Drosophila melanogaster: one gene and its partners. The protein of the gene in region 2 purifies or fractionates together with the protein of the main gene of each other region. This does not show direct contact. Each region holds a gene or a part of one and is shown on either strand. Other genes may lie near its edges.

Region 1 (4,626 bases), on a different chromosome or scaffold from region 2:
TATGAATGTTCTTACTACGTAAAATAATAGGCAATTTTCCCTGGCCCCTAACGGAACCGAAGTCGCCCTACTCAGCTGATTTTATCCCAATCTGACACGCCCGTGACATGCTGTTGCCTATCCGAAAATATTTGTGTACCACGGATTACATTGCAGTAATGGATTTAATTTAAGCTGTGGACCGCGTTCGACTCAACTGCAGATTCATCAGCGCCGAGAACGCATACTGATAAGTCGAATCAGAATCAGACAAAGCGGTATGCTGCGTTCTGCTGAAAAAGGAAAGGGAGAGCGAAAACACGGATGGCTGTGTTGGTGCGATTGATAAATACGAGTTCATTCTTAAAGCTTATTTTTTAGATGACCAAGCGGGAGACAACAACGAGTAAACAAGAGCAACAGCAACAGCGGGCAATAAAGTTGATTGCAGCAGTGGCAAATTGAATATTTGCCAGCGCGCGTGTGTGTGTGCGCAGCCTTTTTGTTTGTGCTTGTTCGCATTGTTAAATATCCGCACCAGCAGTGCAGCCAAATGGGATGATAGATGCCGAATGCCGAATGGCGCGCGAGCAGAGCGAGTGGCTACCATTGTTAATCCGCAGTTCGTCCTCTGTGCCCCTTGCCTCCTCCCTCGCTCATTCCTGTGCCACAGCTCAGCTTGCTACCAAAACTCGACCTCGACTTCATCCCTTGCTCTCTCGGAACTCTCATGCTCAAGCTGTTGCTTCAGCTACAGCTCAGCGTACAATTGTTGCTTTGCGGAGACTGCGCTCATTGCCGGGTGCTGCCAATCCTGGGTGCAATCCGTTCATTATTTATCCGGCTGGTGGTAAGCAAATAGCGCTCACAAGCCACTTAGTGCTATCACTCTTGGATTAATCACTGGGCACGGCTCGGCGATAACGTGTCACTGCCACAAACGGAACCGCAACGGCGATAAATATTTTTCACAGCGAAAATAACACTGCCTAACAAAGTTTGAAACACTGTGACTAGAACATTTCCAAACTTCAGCTATTTCTTCAGCTATCAGTTATATATTTTAGAATAGATAAACAGAATATATATAATGCCATTTATGTAATGATTTCGATGAATAGATAGATGGCTAATATTTTACCGGTACTCCACCAAGGTGTTTTAAAGAAGACGGCTTTAAAGGTTTCCTATAATATACATTTTTTTATTAAATTTCATTTTATTTATTTTAAAATGCGTCCCGTTTGAGTGGAGGATATGTCTAATATAGTCCTAAATAGATACCAAGTAAATATCTTTTCGTATCACTCCACACACACACAAAAAGTTGAGTTTATAATTACATTATTCACGCAGCCCTCTAGGCTCCCTCACTATGCCAATTTCTTTTGTTGTGTAGTGTAATAGCATAGGATTGGCAGCCTCCGATTGTTTACACCAGCGTAGGCGGCACTGCAACAACAACAATAGCATCCTCTGCTCTCATTCTCTCTCCCGTGCTTTGCGCTCTGGAGCGGAGCAGAAAAGAAAAGCGCCATTCGCTCACTTTCTCTCCGGCTCTCTTTGTGCTGCTGCGCCAATTTGCAAGAAAACTAAGTTGGTTTGCTGTGCAGTTGTGACAATCGTCGAGGAGAGCAGCGGCGCACTCTCTAAAAGGAAGCTGCCAAGCCAACGAACGGCCAAGCGAGAGGTGACAAGTGAAAAGTGGCAAGTGGATGTACCAAATAGTGACAGGTTCACTAGTAGTAATCGCAAGTTAGCTGCCCGTTTGGCTGCAGATTTTCGTCAAAGTTCGCTATTCGTGTTGTTTTTTGATGTTTTCGTCTCTCTCGGCTGTCCGCATAGGCAATGTGTGTATACATATACGCGATTTCACACTGACAACAGGGCCGGGCGCGTGTATGAGTGTGGTTATTTTGCCGTGTTGCCGAACATCTGTATCTGTATCTGAATCTGTGGCAGCCAATAGTTGTGGCAAGGCCCTCGAGCAACTCGCAACACAACACATAACAACAGCATCCCCAATAAGTGGCAGCAACTACGCCGCATGGCAAAGCACCAACGGCCGCATTTGTTGTTAATTGAAATAAATTGAAATAAATTCCCCGACTTTGCTGCTCATATTGTTAATAAAGAGAAGCCGGAGCGACGCAACAGCGAATCAGCAGCAGTAAACAAAACTGTGAGCAAAAGGTTTTAGTTCCATTCCAGGCGTCAGACGACTTTGAGTACAAGCGACAAACAACCAGAACATCTAAGGAATTCCGAGCGAACAATGTGAATAATGTTGGTATCACAAGCAATTGGTGGCAATAACCAAAAAGAGCACATGCGTTTATTTATAGACCCCAGTGTGTTCCCATTAGTGAGTGTGTGGCGTGCTGTGCACTGCAAATGAGTTCAAGCTGCAGCCAAAGAGAAGGAGGCGTCCTACCAATACCAATCCTTGTGTAGTCTTGTTCCCTCCACAATCAGATCGGTCGCAGACCAACAGTAGCAGCTGAAATTCCTCGATCGGCACACGAAATCGTATGTAAATACTTTCCTGCCGAGTCAGCCTCTCAGAATGCCAATGTTTACAGTATTCGATTATTGTTTAACTAACAGCCTCTTATGGGAAAGTGGAATACATACATTAATTGATGGGGGAGGTGGGGGTTGGGGTTTGTAGGGTCTGCTATAAGCAGATTTCCCGTATTTGATTTGTCCCCTCTGTTGTCTCAGTTTCAGTGGGACCCATACTCCCGAAAATCAATTGTATTTAACTGTGCGTATGCGATTTCGAAAACAAAAACACCCCTCCTGCTGGGGTCATTGCACCCAAGGTGCGTGGGTGCGTGTGTCAACACTTTTGAACCCCTAAGCACCCACCCGAGAAATACGCCGAAAAGTATGCAACGAACATGGCGACCATCAGCACAAGCAACTTTAACGATTTTCTCACCTCATTTCTATACTTACTTTGCAGCGCAGCATCCGGCGACACAGGACATGCGCAGTGGCCTTTTTGGTAGTTGCATTTCGGCCAACAGCGACTGAAAGAGCAGAGAGCGGAGGAGCATGGCCTTTTCCCGCCACAACATCGAGAAGCGCCGACTCATCGAGCTCGTGCGACTCAACCCAATCCTCTGGGACTGCCGCCTGCCACACTACAAGCGTTCGGACAAGCGAAAAGCCATCAAATGGAACGAGTTGGGGCGGCTCTTCAACGTTAATGGCGAGCGGGTGCAGCGCACGTTTACTTCGCTCCGCGAGATCTTCCGCCGCGAGCTGAACCACGAAAAGATGCTGGGCACCACGCGCTTCAAGTCCAAGTGGGAATACTACGATGCCATGGCCTTCCTCAAGGAGGTCATTCGGGAACGCAAGTAAGACGACGTTTGACCTGCCCTAAAATACTACCTTATGATATATGTAGATCCCGTTTAAGGGATTTTGGACATTCCAGTTATTTGTTCTAGTGTCTTTGGAAAAAGGGTTTACTAAATTCGTTGAAAAGTGTGTAACAGGTAAAAGGAAGCGTTTTCGACCATATAAGGTACATATATATATTTCTGAACAGGATCAATAGCCAAGCCTCGAGCTCAGGAACTATAAAATACCACACTTTTGAAAAATGTTTTCATTTTTCTTGGTTTCATTTTTTTTATCTTACCGATATACCAAAAACACTTTGGCTACGCCTCTTCTGAAAAATTCAAACCGCTCACAACAATTTTAATTCCCCAATATCTATCGACAAGCAAGGAAAATTATAGAATTTCGCGTTCGCACTAGCTGAGTAACGGGTATGTGATAGTCGGGTTTTCGACTACAGCAATTGTGTTCCGATTATAATCACTGAAAAAGTTGTTTGAGCAAATTCGGAGAGAGGTGACCGCGAAATAATCACCGTCACTTAAAAGCCTAAACATATTTACATATTCAACATTTAGATTTTGATTTTACGCGATTTTTAAGTTTTTATTGTTATAAGAAGAATGATTAGTGTAAGGGATTGGGAATATAAATGTCGAGATAGTTCTCAAAATAATACGCAAGTCACCTTCCTCGGTTACAATAAATTTACATTGATTTTACTGAAATCAAATCAAATAAAAACTAGTTAAAGAAAATAACTGTTGTCTACCGAATAAGAACAATGACGCAGATAAGAATATAAATGTCTAGATAATTCACAAGGATTGTGTGCAAGTCAAATCTAAATTTAAGCATTTAGGAAGGGTATACATAGAAATTCTATTAAAACTTTGAATTTGTTTCATGTGGTCGGTCCAGAACTGACCAACAGGCAAGAATGAAATGCATGCCTGCGGATCTGCATCATAGCACCTATCTGCTAACCTTGAGGCAAGCACCCGCTTTCCAAAAAAGCTAATTACAACTTTTGCTTTTTAGATCTCGCGAGCGCATCAAGCACGGCTCTTTGGATTCAGCACCAGTAGCCACAGGCAGCAGCAACAATAACAACAACTGCGTAAGCCGCAATAGCAGCAACAACAACAGCAGCAGTGCGGCCCTAGACGAATATCAGTACTTTGCTCCTAGCGACCCCAACAACCCGAACAATCAGCCCCAGCTGCAGCCCGAACCAAAGAGTAGTCTGCCAGTGACTATTCCCAGTCTAAGTCTCACCCTCAGCCAGTT
Region 2 (3,746 bases):
AATATAACAAGTTTTTATTCAAGTTCAAATATTTTTGAATCTGTTTAGTGAACTTACTTTTTTATATTCTTGATGGCAAATTATTGGAGGCATGTTAGTAACCAAAAGTATATTAAACATTTCCGGATTTGGATTTGGAAACGGGAATGTTTCGCCACAAAACGTGCATCACAACTAATGGCAAACTCGATACAACTTTGGAATATCCCTTTGATAGGATTATCTAAAAACGTGATAAGCTCGGTCATTGAAAATACTGACTGCCGCTCAGAAAACCCCATGACTGATAATTGTGCACAGCTAGAGCCGTATCATCATCAAACTGGTTTGGACAACTCTCGTAATAATACCCTTAACTGCGCCATGGAACCGTCAGTCTGTCGATTGGAACCCATTTAGAATGTTCGGAGCGCATCAGAATCTCTCAATTCAGCTGGTGATTTTTCTCTCCTTAGCCGTCACCATTTGCTTGGGATCCCAAAATGCCACAAGCTGCGGGCATCGCTGTGGAGGAGGCGACTGTATCCAACTGGACCAGCTGTGCGATGGGAGCGCCAACTGCTTGGATGGTTCCGATGAGACGGTCGCCATGTGTGAGAAGGTCTGGTGTCCGGGTTATGCATTTCGCTGCAGCTACGGTGCGTGCATAGCCAGCACAGCGGTTTGCGATGGCGTCCAGGACTGCGTGGATGGTTCGGATGAGCAGGGTTGGCTGTGCCGGGCGCAGATGCAGCAGGCTAACTGCGACAACTGGGAAATGTACTGCTCCTCTGGCCAATGCATGACCTATTCCAAATTGTGTGATGGCATCCGTGACTGCCGAGATGGAGACGATGAGCTGGAGTCCCTTTGCGAGGGCGTTACCATACCAACGACTACAGTCAGTTCAACGACAAGTACAACTACGGAAAGTAGTATCCATAGGATAACTCCCACTGTTCCTGTAACAAGGAAGGCGTCACGACCAAATCCTCTTCAGGAGAACGGGGAGTGCGTGGTTCCCCAACTGCCAAACGTTATGGTTAAGCACTTCACAGATGCAATCCTCACTGTAGGATCAAGGGTAGCCAATGGCACCCGTATCTACTACGACTGCCCGGCGGAGCACAGACTGAAAGGCGAGAACCAGAACATTTGCCAGGACGCATTGTGGGCTAGGAAGTTTCCTTACTGTGAAAGTAAGTTGTGTATTTATCAAAAGTTTCTTCATTAATACTAATTTATTTACTTTTAGCACCCCAAGCGTATGTTTTCAGCTTGGTTATAGTAATATTCTGCTTCCTAATCGTGGTATTGGTGTTTCTAATTTGGCGGGTGCGTCGAGAAAATGGCTCAAGAAGGCAACGAGAGGAGCACATTTGGCTGGTGGAGACCAGCAGTAATCTTCCCCAGACATCTTCAATACCAAAGGTCTAGGAATTAATTTTTACAAAGCTAAACATGTGATCACGCATACTTACTTATTTACCAGCCAAGTTGTTGATAAAAAGTACTGTTAATTTCAAACTATCTAGGCTTATCTTATGTAAATAATGTTATTTCAAGTTCTCCATAAAAATTAAAAGCTTAAATACGAATGTATATTTATTTTTAGAGTAAAACGTGAGAAGTAGTATTATATTGTAAATATATTAAAACAGATTTAAGAACATAATAATTGTGTTATTAGGTTGCACATTTTAATTTCGGCTGTTAACAATACTTTTGCGTTAACAGCTGTAATGCTAGAACCACTTGTTGCTGCGACCCAAACTGTGACTGAAACAGTGACTGGAAATAGTGGCATTTCTGGTGGGAGCGAACGCGGTCACACCTGCCCCACTAGTGCGCCAATATTGCTCCAGTGCTTCGCAGCGTAAGTATCCCAAGTTCTAGAGTGGCTCCATGCCAGATACCGCCACAGATTAGATAACGAATTGCACTTGCAGCCGGCTCAGAGTTCCTTCAATTGAAAATGGCCAACATTGCTAAGATCTTCGCTAGCCGCGCCCAGTGCGTCCTGCAGGCAGCCGCCCGTCAGCCACAGGTGGCCACCCGTTTCAGCAGCTCCTGTAAGTAGATGGTTGATTGCGAGGGATCAAAGTCCACGCGATTGATGCCCAGCTCCAACCTAAGCCGGAATATCAAGATATCAAGTGCCGCCGGTTTCTTGGCGACATCTTTTGTACTTTTCCAGGCAAATAAACATTGATTGCGTAACATTCGCGCACATACGATCACCTCATTTATGATGCCATCTCTTTTCAGCCACCAACAACAACTGGGAGTACATCAAGACCGAAGTGGCCGGCGAGGGCAAGAACGTAGGCGTGATCACCCTGAACCGCCCCAAGGCCCTGAATGCCCTCTGCAATGGCCTGATGAAGGAGCTGTCCACCGCATTGCAGCAATTCAGCAAGGATAAGACCATCTCCGCCATCGTTTTGACGGGCAGCGAGAAGGCCTTCGCCGCTGGCGCTGATATTAAGGAGATGGTGGGCAACACCTACTCGCAGTGCATCCAGGGCAACTTCTTGAACGACTGGACAGAGGTGGCCCGCACCCAGAAGCCCATCATTGCTGCCGTGAATGGTTACGCCTTGGGCGGTGGCTGTGAGCTGGCCATGATGTGCGACATCATATATGCCGGTGACAAGGCCAAGTTTGGTCAGCCTGAAATTGCCCTGGGCACCATTCCCGGTGCCGGTGGCACCCAGCGTCTGACCCGCGTCGTTGGCAAGTCCAAGGCCATGGAAATGTGCCTCACCGGCAATATGATCGGCGCCCAGGAGGCTGAGAAGCTGGGTCTGGCCAGCAAGGTGGTGCCCGCCGACCAGTTATTGGGCGAGGCCGTCAAGCTGGGCGAGAAGATCGGCACCCACTCCAATCTGATCGTGCAGCTGTGCAAGGAGGCGGTTAACACGGCTTACGAGACCACTCTCCAAGAGGGCCTGAAGTTCGAGCGTCGCACCTTCCATGCCACGTTCTCCACGGTTAGTTCAAGTTTAAATATCTGCTTAACACTATTTAATCTCTTGTATTTTCTTTCATCCAATAGGCCGATCGCAAGGAGGGCATGACCGCTTTCGCCGAGAAGCGCCCTGCCAAGTTTACCAACGAGTAAATACTACCCTAATCAATCCCAGCCAGCTTTGCATTTATATTATCTAAAAGAAAAACTGTTGTTTCTACGCAATTAAAACTTTAATCGTGATAATTTGAAAATGAACAATTTACCATAATTTGTCATTAGTATATGAGGTATGCTAGTCCGCATGTCAGGTGGTAATCCATTAGTATAAACATGGTATGGCCACTTGACAGTCGGCTTGCTAGCCCGATTATCCTCCTATTTCTAATCGAAACAAAATAAGTGCTTAGGTGACTTCCATGGTTGTGTCTTGTTGCTTTCGAGTTTGGAAGGCATGTTTTTTGGAAAATTGTGCGCTGTGTAGCGTTGCCTTCGTGAAGAATATTCAATCTCATGGAAATCTATACCTCCCCGTATCCTTCTCGAGCCATGTGGATTTTTATAGTGCCTGGAGGCATCGGAGTCATCGCAACAACGAGCTAAATGTCGATAATTTCGTGACCGTGAGTAGTTCTTATCCCTGTGCATGGGACAATGTTCTGTAAATCGGAAACGATTCCCCTTTGGTTCAATCACACAGGGATCACTTAGTTCGGTGGTAAACTCGTAGTTTCGATATGTAACCAATCCTCGACGTATGCCCGGATTTTGTGACTCAGTTGGCCGTGAGGTGAGC
Region 3 (5,408 bases), 1.7 Mb from region 2:
GCACAGATTCCACCCAGCTCCGGATCTGGTCCTCCTGCTCCATTGCCAACGACAGCGGTGTGATCCGTCGGAGGCATGGATAAATTGGAACTGAAGCATTCGCCGTGCCACTCTGGGCCACACAGATGCCACTTTGTGTGCGCTTTCAGTACAGAAATGAACTTGTGTGATCTTATTGAGTACATACCTATTTAAGTTCTAGACATTAGGAGTCGCATATTGTAAATATATATTTTTAGGACATAGGATGAAAATTAAAGTGAATTATTTAATTGAAAATAATGACTTTTAACTTTGGGAAAGTTCATGATTAAGTACAATATAAAAATCGGTTCTTAATGGTAAAATACAAAATAAATTAGTTCTATGAATCATGAAAAATCAGTTCTTATCAAAAATAAATAAGTTCCATAAAGCATAAACTCAGAAATCGTGTAATCGACATTATTTAAAAATGAAAAAGTAATGGTTTCTAATTTACATACGATTAACCGCTGCCACCGTATGGCTATTAACCTTAGATTCAGCAGATTTTAAAGCTTACGGTAGACAAGTTTTATTTATTGTAATTAGTTATCAATATGTGTATATGTTTTTTCATCTTGTATTGAGAAGTCAACAATTATACAGCTAAGCGCAGTGTGAATACCGAGGAAATAAATTATAGGTGGAGTTCAGCAAAACGTTGTAGACTATCACATAGATAAACGGTATTCGTGGGATCTAAAGCTATTTACAGAGAATAAATACACTTGTAAGATTATAATAAATAGTTGTACGTAAGTTCGCAACACAATAATATCCAACGAAAAATGCACAAATGAGAAACACAAATCAGGGCCGAAGGGAAATTGTGCAGGACTTGTCCCAATATGATTTAAGAACGATTCGAAACGAACTCGTAAACAGCCAAGTTTTAGATTGCATTGCAATGAGCAACATTCAAAGTTTGTAGAAGCCCGACTTTTACAAAAAGCCTCCATTCGTGATTATTGCTATTGTTTAATCGCTGTTGCTTATCAGCGACTCCTGTTGTTCGTCATCGTTGACCCTAGGCAAGAAATTATGCTGTTAAAAGACAGTTCATATTGCCAGAACACCAGACTCACCTAACAATGCTTGGCTTATGGCACCGGCAGACTTTTCTATACACAATCCTAAAGAGCTTCATCAGTGGGTCGGAATCGTCGTTACGCATCAATAGCGAAACGAACACCAGGGCCACAAAGATGGGTATCGAGCCCATGTAGAACATCGGCGAATACGGTTTGTTCTTCAGCAGGACATCGAACAGGATGGCTAGCGGAATCTGTAGCGACATTGCCAGCGTGCCAATCAGTGAGGATGTCAAAAAGCAGCCCCACAGCCAAAGAGCCTCCGACAGCACAGTGCCAACTAAGCCGTTCAAAAATAGAAGGGCAAACTGCCCTTGACTGGGCAGCTCAAAGGTTTCTATTTTGGTGAAGTGGAGGATAAAGAATATTGGCCATAAAAGCAACATATTCCATAGGCCAACAAAACCTAAAAAGGGAGTCAGAAGATAAGCAGCGATCAAACTCAAAATTTAGCAATTTTACTCACCGAAAAACAATGGTATATCGACCTTCTCCTCCGTATCGCTTTTTCGCTTCACGAAAACCAAATAGGCGGCATAGAAGAAAGCGCTGAAAAGGGCTAAAAGGACGCCTCTGGTCATCTTGGTATCGTGTAGGTCGTTCATGGTGATGGCCACCACTCCGCCAATGTTCATGGCCACCGCAATCACCTTGGTGATAGTCAGCTTGTCACCTGTTGCCGAGGGAAATACGGCTGCCAGGCAGATAATGAAGAATGACGATGTTGAGCTAACCAGTGTTATCATGGCCGCCTCGTCCATTTCCAGGGCCAGCTGAAAGAAGTAATTGGCCGCAAACCAGAGCAGACAAAAGAGTAGCGCAGTCTTTGCCGTTTTGTGGTGTGTCTTTTGGCGCCTAATTCTCAAGCTGGCGGCATACGAAAGCCTGGCCATTAAGGCATCGGTGGCTTCGTGGGCAGACATCTCTCTGACTTCGGCCATCTTGCTGAAGCGCACACTTCTTACACTTGAATCATCGCTTTCGGTGCCCGATATGGAGTTTGAGGTGCCATTGGATTGTCCTCCGGCTCCTAAGTGAGGCGATCTGATGGGCACATAGGTTGGGTCTCCCTAGTAGGTATAGACAAAGGTTACATCTTTTTGTACATAATATATGATTGTATGATTTGCCTACCAAAACAGCCTGATTGGAGTAATAATTCTCGTCATCTGCATTCTGCTCCATCATCTAAGGGAAGAAGAATCACTTAGTAGGGTTTATAATTAGGATATCTAATTACTTACAGCATAGTTTCCATTCTGTCGCTCGCATGACTCTTTCCAGGGAGCCAGGATACCGATGACTAGCAGGTAAATGCTGAACATGGAGGTTTTGAAGTATGTGCAGAAGAAGGGCTTGTCAAAATTGGCCTCATTGTACAGGAACTAGTAAAGTATATCAAAATTCAAACCGATTTCCAAATGTTTTCAAAACAAAATTATCACCTTTGTCAGCTCACTGGATGAGACCCAAACCACATCGACTAGTACCAGTATTGATATGCCCAACAGGAGACGTTGTGTGCGACCTAGCATGATTATTCGCCTGTTTTTCGAATGTTTTCCAAACGAACTTAGCTTCTTTTCCCGCCTTTTGGGGGATGTCTTGCTCCTTCGGTTATCCGTTGACAAATAACTATTTACGCTTGTGCCGCCAGCGTTTTAGTTTCATTGTTGCGGTGTCTTTAGGTTCTGCTTTCAAAAGTGATAAAAGGTCCGTGGTCCGTGAATTTTACACAGATAAACCTTGGGCTTTAGGTAGTCATTTTAGCTAGAATGGAAAAATTGGAGGGAGTGTGTGAGTGCATAAAGTTGGTAGGGATCTGCATTTATTGATTTTTTGTTGACGAGTGGGTGCGGCATTATTCAAGGCGCAAATTACTATTTAACACGTTTGAATCGAATCGCTTTTGTTAGGTAGCAGCAATTCGATTAACAAAGCCATCGGTCAATTAACATCTGCTTGAGCAGATATCTCCATCTAATTTGGGATTATCACCGATCGCGGTGATCAGATAAGTATAAACAAATTAGCAAGATTTCGGGGGGACTGACTGATAAGATATGTGGCTTTGAAAACCAATTGTTTGTTGGGTAAATAAGAATACATTTGTCGAGTGTGGAGAGGGGGAGGGTGGGAGTGGGCGGCAGGTTGTTGATAACAGGCCAAAAACAAAATCAATAAACACAGGCAGCGATATGAAGTCTGAAAAAGTCAACAAGTCTACTGGTCATCACTTAATTGTGATATTATCTACAGTTCTGCGGCTATGCTTGACTTATTTATGCAGTTTTTACCACTTGATTCCTCTTTTGAAGGCGGAACTTTTTTCCTTCCCACTGCCGCAATTGTTTTCTTTGTGTTTGTTTTGTTGAGCGGAAACAATATTTATGGTTTTCTATTTTCTAGGATTTGTCTTAACTCAAGTGGGTTTTCAGATTACACTCTTGGGAGTAATGTGCGTTATAATACTGATATTCTGATTATGATTTTTTATCCGCACAGCTGGACAGAGCTGCTATTAGTGATGGTACAACATCAACCTATCGAAACTATCGATGTATTCAACTTCTTATATCGCATCGATTGTTTTTTGCGTCTTGAATATATAATATATATTTTGTGATAACAATGCTATTATATATAAATGCCTACAAATTCTCTTATTCCATTCCTTTTCATAACTTTCACTAAAGCTGAAGTTATCTGAGAGAAGCCAACTTCAATGCTTCATCAGAAACAATTGGCTGATTAATACATTAATAATAATATATTTAAAATTAATAAAACATTATAAAATAACTGAAGACGTATCGTTTATGGATTAATTAAAAGGCATGGCAACGCTGGTTGCCCAACGTATTTATATCAAAAGGTGGCAGCGCATATGCGAAATTGAAAAGTGTGGCAATGTGGAATAACCGCCAAAACCTTTGGTATTTTAAAATTTCAACTTCCTTTATATTTGCCGACCCATTAAAATAAACTCAATTTGTTGATCCAAGGAAGAATATTTATTCCACGCTTTGTGCAATACACTTATATAAATACATTATACATGTAATACAAAATATTTTTGCTCCTCTCTCTGAGTGTGTGTGTAAAACATGTTGCAAAATTTGTCGGGTTAGCACAAAGATTCAATAATATATTAATTATAAAGAAATTTAAATGCGTTCGATTTCAGTTTTGAAGTATTCGATCGTTCAATATAGCGTAATTTCTTTTTTGTTTTCTTATTTTCGTTTTGAAGAGTACATAATTTTGTGTGTTTTTGGTTTTCTTTTGGGTACTTTTTTAGCCAGCATGCACAGACTGAAATGAAGAGAAAGGAAACGTAAAGTGAATCGAAACCAGGGAATTTATATCGCAAAACAAGGCTCAAATCAAACGAAGGTAGCAAACGAAAGCAGCGTCCTCCTGTCTACAAAGTCTTTTGATTGCCATTTGTTTTGGTTTCGATTGCGTCGTCATTCATTCACCTCGACGAGCTCTGAAGTTAGATAAATTCAGAATTGGAACGTACCCGAGCAATGTCCACGCCGGTTATGTTCTTGACCAGCTCTGGCACTTTGTTGACGATCGACAGAACCTCGCCGGTCAGCTTGGCAGCACCGATATCGCCAGTTCCGCTGGACACCATCGTGATCTTCTTAGCCTGTGACAGTGGAGCAGCCACCTCGGCGGCAACCTGCGAATTAGATTCAACATAGAATAAATTATAGATTCTTTTAATCTAACCATTGACAAACCTTTGGCAGTGTGTCCAGGAGCATCTCCACCATGGCAGCCTCACGGTACTCACGATAGGCCTCTGCCTTCATGGCCATCTGCTCGGCCTCTGCTTTAGCCTTGGCCGCAATGGCAAAGGCCTCAGCCTCACCACGAATCCTGATCTGTTGCAAAGAAGATGGAGATGCTTCAGTTAATCGTAGTCTATAAGCAAATATTTAGATGGTATCTAACCGATTCAGCCTCGGCCTCGGCTTCCATGACCACGCGCTGCTTGTTGGCCTCGGCCAATTTCTCCATGCGGAACTTCTCCGCCTCGGCCGGTCGGCGGATGGTGGCCTCCAGCTCTCGCTCGCGGCGCATGATCTCCTGCTCCTGGACGGCAATCTCCTGCGTGCGCTCGATCACCTTCACCTGCATCTGCTCCTCCTTGATGCGCTGCTTGGTCTTGGCCGCTTGCAGCTCGTAGGCCATCTCGGCCTCGGCCTTTTTGGTCTGCACTTCCACATCGTATGCTGCCTTCTTCAGCTCAAAGTCGCGCTGGGCCTTGGCAATATCGGT
Region 4 (5,820 bases), on a different chromosome or scaffold from region 2:
CTCCCCATGATCCAGCTTGCGCAGGGCGGTCAGTTCCAATTGTCTGATTTCCTCAGGAGTCAATGCACAATTGAGTTGAGCGCTGGCCCACAGGAATGTGGCCAAGTCTTTGGAGCGCAGGTCTCCAGGCTTGAGAAGAGTCATGAGTCGTTTTACGACGACAGTTAGGCATTCATTCTGATCCCAAAGCTGCTCGGCAAAGAATGCAAAGATATGGGCAAGTCCTCGGGGTTCAATATGGGTTATCTTTACAGGATCCAGACAGATATCTTGCAGGTGCTGGCACACTCGTTCATCTTTGACTTGCTGCAGACGCAATGCCTTGACAAAGGAGACCAGCAAGGCATCGCTTCCGGTGTTTATCTCCAGATTTAATATGGCATTAACGAGTCTTGCTTCGTATGCCGTTTTCGCCTCACCGGTTACCAAAGTTGAGGTTTTGTACGCCGCATTGCTGACCACGGCAAGGTCCATTTCATTTAGTTCAGGCAAATGCGTTTGTAGATGCTCTTCCAGGAGTTGCTGGAATTCCTCAGAAGATTTGGCCTGCTTCTTTTGCAATCCCATATAGAAGCACACCTGAACGAATCGCTCCTTGTTGCCGCGAAAATCCTCCCTGACCAGTCGTTGCATGGCTGCTTGGTAAAAATCCAATCGCTTTATCCAACTTGGTATGAGGAATAGAAAGGAGTAGAGCGTCTCGAGCACTGTGGCGGTATCCATCTTGTCCAGCTGTTTAGCCGCATGGTTATCCAACGTGTTAAGCGCAGTCACATACATGGGTACAGCGGCATTGGAGCGATAGCTGGATGCCTGGATGATCAGGGCGGGCAATTGGGCTGCATCCGTTTTCTCTACCGTCCGCTGAAAGTACCGGTCGTCCGTGATGGGAAAGAAGTCAGAGTACCGGACCGTCGTCTTGGGCAACACGTGATCCGAATCCCTGTAGCGCTCCAGTGCAATGTGCTTGGCGAAGCGGGTCAGCAGTGTGCCGGTCTCATCGCTGCTCCGCAATACATCTCTGGGCGTAAGGGAGGCGTAGGTTCTGATGGGACATCCCAAGTTGGTGACGCCGGCAAAGCGGCGAAGCAGGGCGTACATATCGGATGCACTTCTTCTCAATTTATGTAATGAATTTACAAAACAACGTGCAAGTCCGCAAGCATACGTTAAATCTGCATTCGCTTTTCAACACTGACTAATTTCCTCTCACACGAAGTGAACTACTAATAAGCAAAAGAGGGAAACAGCTAGAAAAGCACCACTGTTATTGGAGACTTTCGAGCACTGTTCAAACACCTGTTTCGGTTAATTGATAGCAACAACATGGAAAAGGCAGCTGGTTTTGTTATTTTTCGCCGCCTTTGTGGGGAAATACAATACCTATTGCTGAAGGCTTCCTACGGCTCCTTCCACTGGAGTTCTCCCAAGGGACATGTGGACCCAGGCGAGGATGATTTTACCACTGCCCTGCGAGAAACGAAAGAGGAAGCCGGGAAAGTGCACAACGATATATCTTTTAAAACATGCTTAATTTCAAAAATGCTCTCATAGGTACGACGAGAAGGATCTGATCATATACAAGGACACTCCGCTGACCCTGAATTATCAGGTGCAAGACAAGCCGAAGATTGTTATTTACTGGCTAGCGGAGCTGCGGAATCCCTGCCAGGAGCCCATTCTCTCCGAGGAGCACACCGACCTCAAGTGGCTGCCCAAGGAGGAGGCCAAGCAGTGCGTCGGCTTTAAGGATAACCAAGTCATGATCGACAAGTTCCACCAAATGATTTTAGATCAAAACAAACCAATGTGAACTGAAAACAATTGCCGGTCTAATGTTGGGCAACACAGAAATTAAAATAAAAAAAGCACAGAAAATACCGTATCAAAAAAAATACCAGAATTATGTCAGGCCAGTATGCCAACGTTGTGCACACTGTTTTAAGGCATCTGTGAAAATTGCTCGAGAAATTAAATTCGCTCTCATTGATTTGTTGTGGCAGCCAAGTTAAGCCCTTCGACTAGCTCGAAATCTTATACAATCACACAATCCAGCACCATGGGCTCCCGTTCACGTACACCCAGTCCGTCGGGCAAGCGACGCCACCATAAGAGCAAGCACAAAAAACGCAGTAAGTCCCACCACGACCACGAGCGGCCCAGCACAAGAACGGATAGAGACAAGTCCTCGGAGGTGAACAACCATGGACGACATCGCGAACGGGACAGGGACCGCGAGCGGGATAGACACCGCAGCGACCGACACACTGAGCGCGACTACCGTCACTCCCCCTCGATCCTGAAATCCCGAAAACGCTCCAGCTCGTCGAGCAGCGACAGTCAGTACTCCGAGCAGGAGTCGCAACGTAGCAAACAGAAGCGCAGCCGCTTTAAGAAGCTGGATGAGGTAAGTGGATAGTGTCCATAGTCTGTCATCTTGAGCACTCCATGGGTACGCATTCCATACACGCATTTTTCCGGGATGGACACTCATGCTGCGCTTATGATACAACTGTTTCGATGAAAGCAACTAAACTATGATCTACCATTACAGCAAAACCAGATGCAGGTCGAACGCCTGGCCGAGATGGAGCGGCAGCGTCGGGCGAAGGAGCTCGAGCAAAAGACAATCGAAGAGGAAGCCGCCAAGCGCATAGAGATGCTGGTAAAAAAGCGCGTCGAGGAGGAGCTAGAAAAGCGTCGCGACGAAATCGAACAGGAGGTCAATCGACGCGTTGAGACCGCCAAGGCTGAGATGGAGCGCGAAATGATGCTGGAGCTGGAGCGGCGGCGAGAGCAGATACGCGAAGAAGAACGCCGGCGCGAGGTAGGTGCTCGTATTCAGATTCCGCTGGACGACTGCTGCTATCACTGTCAGAAACACGTACACAATGCCACATTTACCGTACACTTGAATAAATCCAAAACAGCAGTTCAAACAGTCGTCTCCACCACGTCACGCGAAATCGATCCGGCGGCGCTCTCAGTCGCGGCTCACTGGCTGTTCATCCATCAACCCATGTCCCATCAGCAGCCTCCCCGTACTAGATTGCTTGCATAACCCTGGGCCAAGGGCGCCCACTAACCGGGTACATCACTAACCAGTCGCAACTTTTCAGAGCCCTCCCCACATGATGCAGCAAGCTAAATGCTGTGAGCCGAGATGAGAACGCCACGGCTCGTTTTGCCCCTTTTTTTCTTCTTGCCAATAATTTTGTAACTTTTTATTTTTCCTACCAAAAAAGCCAAAATGACGACATTGCCAAGTGTCGCATGTGTCAAAGTTTTGATGCCCATTATTGCAGACTTATTGCATACTCTTAGCTTCATCTTTTGTTCGTTCCTACCCACATACTGTATCATTTTAATTTTTTTGGTATTGGTTCTCGTAACTCGTTGTTGTTGTTATTGCGCGCAAATTCCGCTTCAGTAGGCCCGTGCAACGAACGTGCTGCTCTTGTCCCGTATGCAAGTGGGTGTGTGTGGCTGTTTTGTGATCCTTACCCGCAAAACACTCGCGTGCACTCCACGTTGTGCCGCCATGCCGGAAGTTGAGCAAGCCTGCTGCCGAGCGATTGGTCCACGGACGCATTTCCTCCACACCAAACAATAAATATCAAAAGAATCAAAGAAATACCAAAGCCCAGCGAAGTGGTATGGTGTCCCTAAGTTAGTCCGGGTAGTTAGGCACTCTAGTTGTGGGCGGGCCGACTGAGTTTAGTCCCAACAGTACGCTGCATGCAAATCAAATCACTGCCACTTTTGATAACGGGTGAGTTTCCTACGCCAGCGATGTGTGATGTTGCCCAGCAGCCGTAAGGATAACAGGCGAGAAAGGACGGCGCACAGACCCAAAGACTCAAAGACTCCCCCCAGGGTTTAGCTCTATAGAACTCTGTCTGTAAGAATTTTTGAAACCGGATACGCATTGGATTGCCACTTATTTGTGTTTAAGCTTTTTGTTTTTGCGAGCAAATTACATATGTACGTCTGGAATAGCGAAAAACTCCACAAAAATAATCCCAAATCGAAAATCTGCAAAAAAAAAAAAAAAGAAAACCATAAATTAACACAAATTTAGCCTATTTACTGGAATAATGACCTATTTAAATAGTAAGTAGCAACAATAAAAAAAAAAAAAAACCAAATGAAGACCAACCATTTAGCAAATACTAGTACATTTGTTTATGTTGTGTGCTCCTTTATTGTAATAAACTAAAAGAACAACCTACTTTAAACATTCTTATTAGACACTACTAAATGTTTTACTTTCTACCGAAAATATTCTTTGTAACTTATTGTTAAACATAAAACTAGATTTTAACTGCCTTTGCAGCTCATCAAGCAAAAAACTGCAACCACAAACGTGCGTCGAATTCGTCGCACAGTTTGCATCGCTGATGTCAAGAGACTGTTTATTTCTATAATTAGCATTAAGCTTCTCGCTAAAGGATCGATTTTTGTTATTAATCGTCTTCTTGTTTGGGTTTTATAGGAGGATGAAAAACAAAAACGCGAAGAGCTCGAAGAAATTTTGGCCGAAAACAATCGCAAAATCGAAGAGGCGCAAAGAAAACTGGTAAGAATTCATAGCAAACAAACCATATTATTATGATCATAATTGATTTCTTTTTTCTTTAGGCCGAAGAACGGTTAGCAATAATCGAGGAGCAGCGCCTTATGGACGAGGAGCGGCAACGCATGCGCAAGGAGCAGGAGAAGCGCGTCAAGGAAGAGCAGAAGGTCATATTAGGCAAAAACAATTCCAGGCCCAAGCTATCGTTCTCCCTGAAACCGGGCGCATTATGAGGAGCGTAGGCATCAGTCTGGTGACCGTCGCACCTTTTCTTGTTAACAGCTTTTGCTTTTTTTTTTACCTCAGTGGCTATTTGCCTGCGACACAGACCATGCACTCGTTTTCATTGTTGTAATTGTGTTCTATATTATTTTTATTATTTTAAGGACGAGCTGTGGTGCTGAGAGCAGGCAAAGCACAGCCAATAGATTCAACGTTTTCAAAATTGCCAATTACTGAACACATACGGCTCTATATAGTACAATACGCTAGCGATTTACTTAACCTTTTCTACATAAAGAATTCATATGTGAGACAAATGATTATGTGTAGTGCGTCGTATTGTTGTCACAGCTGAACGATTAACAAAAAAGAAGAAAAAAAAAAAAAGAAAACCAAAAAGATGTCAGTGAAATACATATGTAATCTATTTGCAATTTTTTGATATTTCAAGAAAACATAGAAATCAGCTGAAATCGATAATAAAAAACTTTAGAAATGCCAAAAGTTGAATATTATTATATATAATCTGTATAAGCTTAAGTGTTTCAGATTTGCAATGCAAGAGCTACAAGTGCATTAGCGAGCGAATTAAGCACCATTCGCTTAGTAAATTTGACAGTTTTGCCAAAACATACGTGCGCTTTTCAGCTCCTCCATCCTCCACCGAATCCCCCGATCCCCTTTGGTATCGGACACGATCTAAGCCAGTGTACATGTCGCTAAGTAGACACAACTTATTATTTATAGAGACTACTTCAATTTATATGTCTCTTGTTGCTGATTGGGTTGGGCGACGCTGGACAGCGGGCGACAGCCGGCACGCCCGCGCGTAGCATGGAACTGGAGGCTGCGATCAGGTGGAGAGGCGGCGGTGTCCGATCTGTCCAAGTGCGTGCGTGCGCAGGAGGCGGGGATGCCGAATTGGTAGGCGACTTCACTCAGAGTCGTAATGTGGTTCTAAGCGAATGTGGCGCAAGATATGCCTGTTATGCATACGCACCAAGGTACTCCGCTCCAACGAA

Evidence for each region.
Region 1: the proteins of Echs1 (region 2) and CG12768 purify together in Drosophila melanogaster (affinity purification with mass spectrometry, with the first as the bait; one large-scale study listed by BioGRID). This does not show direct contact.
Region 3: the proteins of Echs1 (region 2) and CG8195 purify together in Drosophila melanogaster (affinity purification with mass spectrometry, with the first as the bait; one large-scale study listed by BioGRID). This does not show direct contact.
Region 4: the proteins of Echs1 (region 2) and Arglu1 purify together in Drosophila melanogaster (affinity purification with mass spectrometry, with the first as the bait; one large-scale study listed by BioGRID). This does not show direct contact.

What each region holds. Positions count from the first base shown.
Region 1 is NT_037436.4:22,908,887-22,913,512, forward strand, and holds the start of CG12768 (uncharacterized protein), read left to right. Parts: upstream 1-1,604; 5' UTR 1,605-1,686; intron 1,687-1,946; exon of another isoform or gene 1,947-2,265; intron 2,266-2,703; exon of another isoform or gene 2,704-2,869; intron 2,870-2,947; 5' UTR 2,948-3,039; coding exon 3,040-3,347; intron 3,348-4,377; coding exon 4,378-4,626.
Region 2 is NT_033778.4:13,852,407-13,856,152, reverse strand, and holds Echs1 (Enoyl-CoA hydratase, short chain 1), read left to right. Parts: upstream 1-1,821; 5' UTR 1,822-1,954; coding exon 1,955-2,051; intron 2,052-2,247; coding exon 2,248-2,972; intron 2,973-3,037; coding exon 3,038-3,103; 3' UTR 3,104-3,206; downstream 3,207-3,746. Other genes in the region: CG6553 (uncharacterized protein), read left to right, coding at 401-1,178, 1,235-1,416; CG30485 (uncharacterized protein), read right to left, coding at 3,335-3,746.
Region 3 is NT_033778.4:15,562,162-15,567,569, forward strand, and holds CG8195 (uncharacterized protein), read right to left. Parts: upstream 3,641-5,408; 5' UTR 3,413-3,640; intron 2,886-3,412; 5' UTR 2,651-2,885; coding exon 2,561-2,650; intron 2,501-2,560; coding exon 2,360-2,500; intron 2,304-2,359; coding exon 2,250-2,303; intron 2,186-2,249; coding exon 1,582-2,185; intron 1,522-1,581; coding exon 1,110-1,521; intron 1,052-1,109; coding exon 1,003-1,051; 3' UTR 536-1,002; downstream 1-535. Other genes in the region: CG12963 (uncharacterized protein), read left to right, coding at 1-63; Flo1 (flotillin 1), read right to left, coding at 4,413-4,430, 4,642-4,806, 4,868-5,011, 5,082-5,408.
Region 4 is NT_033779.5:9,934,245-9,940,064, reverse strand, and holds Arglu1 (arginine and glutamate rich 1), read left to right. Parts: upstream 1-1,930; 5' UTR 1,931-2,059; coding exon 2,060-2,407; exon of another isoform or gene 2,408-2,554; coding exon 2,555-2,827; coding exon of another isoform or gene 2,828-3,061; exon of another isoform or gene 3,062-4,495; coding exon 4,496-4,579; intron 4,580-4,641; coding exon 4,642-4,809; 3' UTR 4,810-5,298; downstream 5,299-5,820. Other genes in the region: CG4619 (uncharacterized protein), read right to left, coding at 1-1,101. UniProt on the Drosophila melanogaster protein: Post-transcriptional regulator of gene expression; modulates splicing and premature cleavage at cryptic polyadenylation sites of its own pre-mRNA through binding and regulation of the U1-snRNP complex.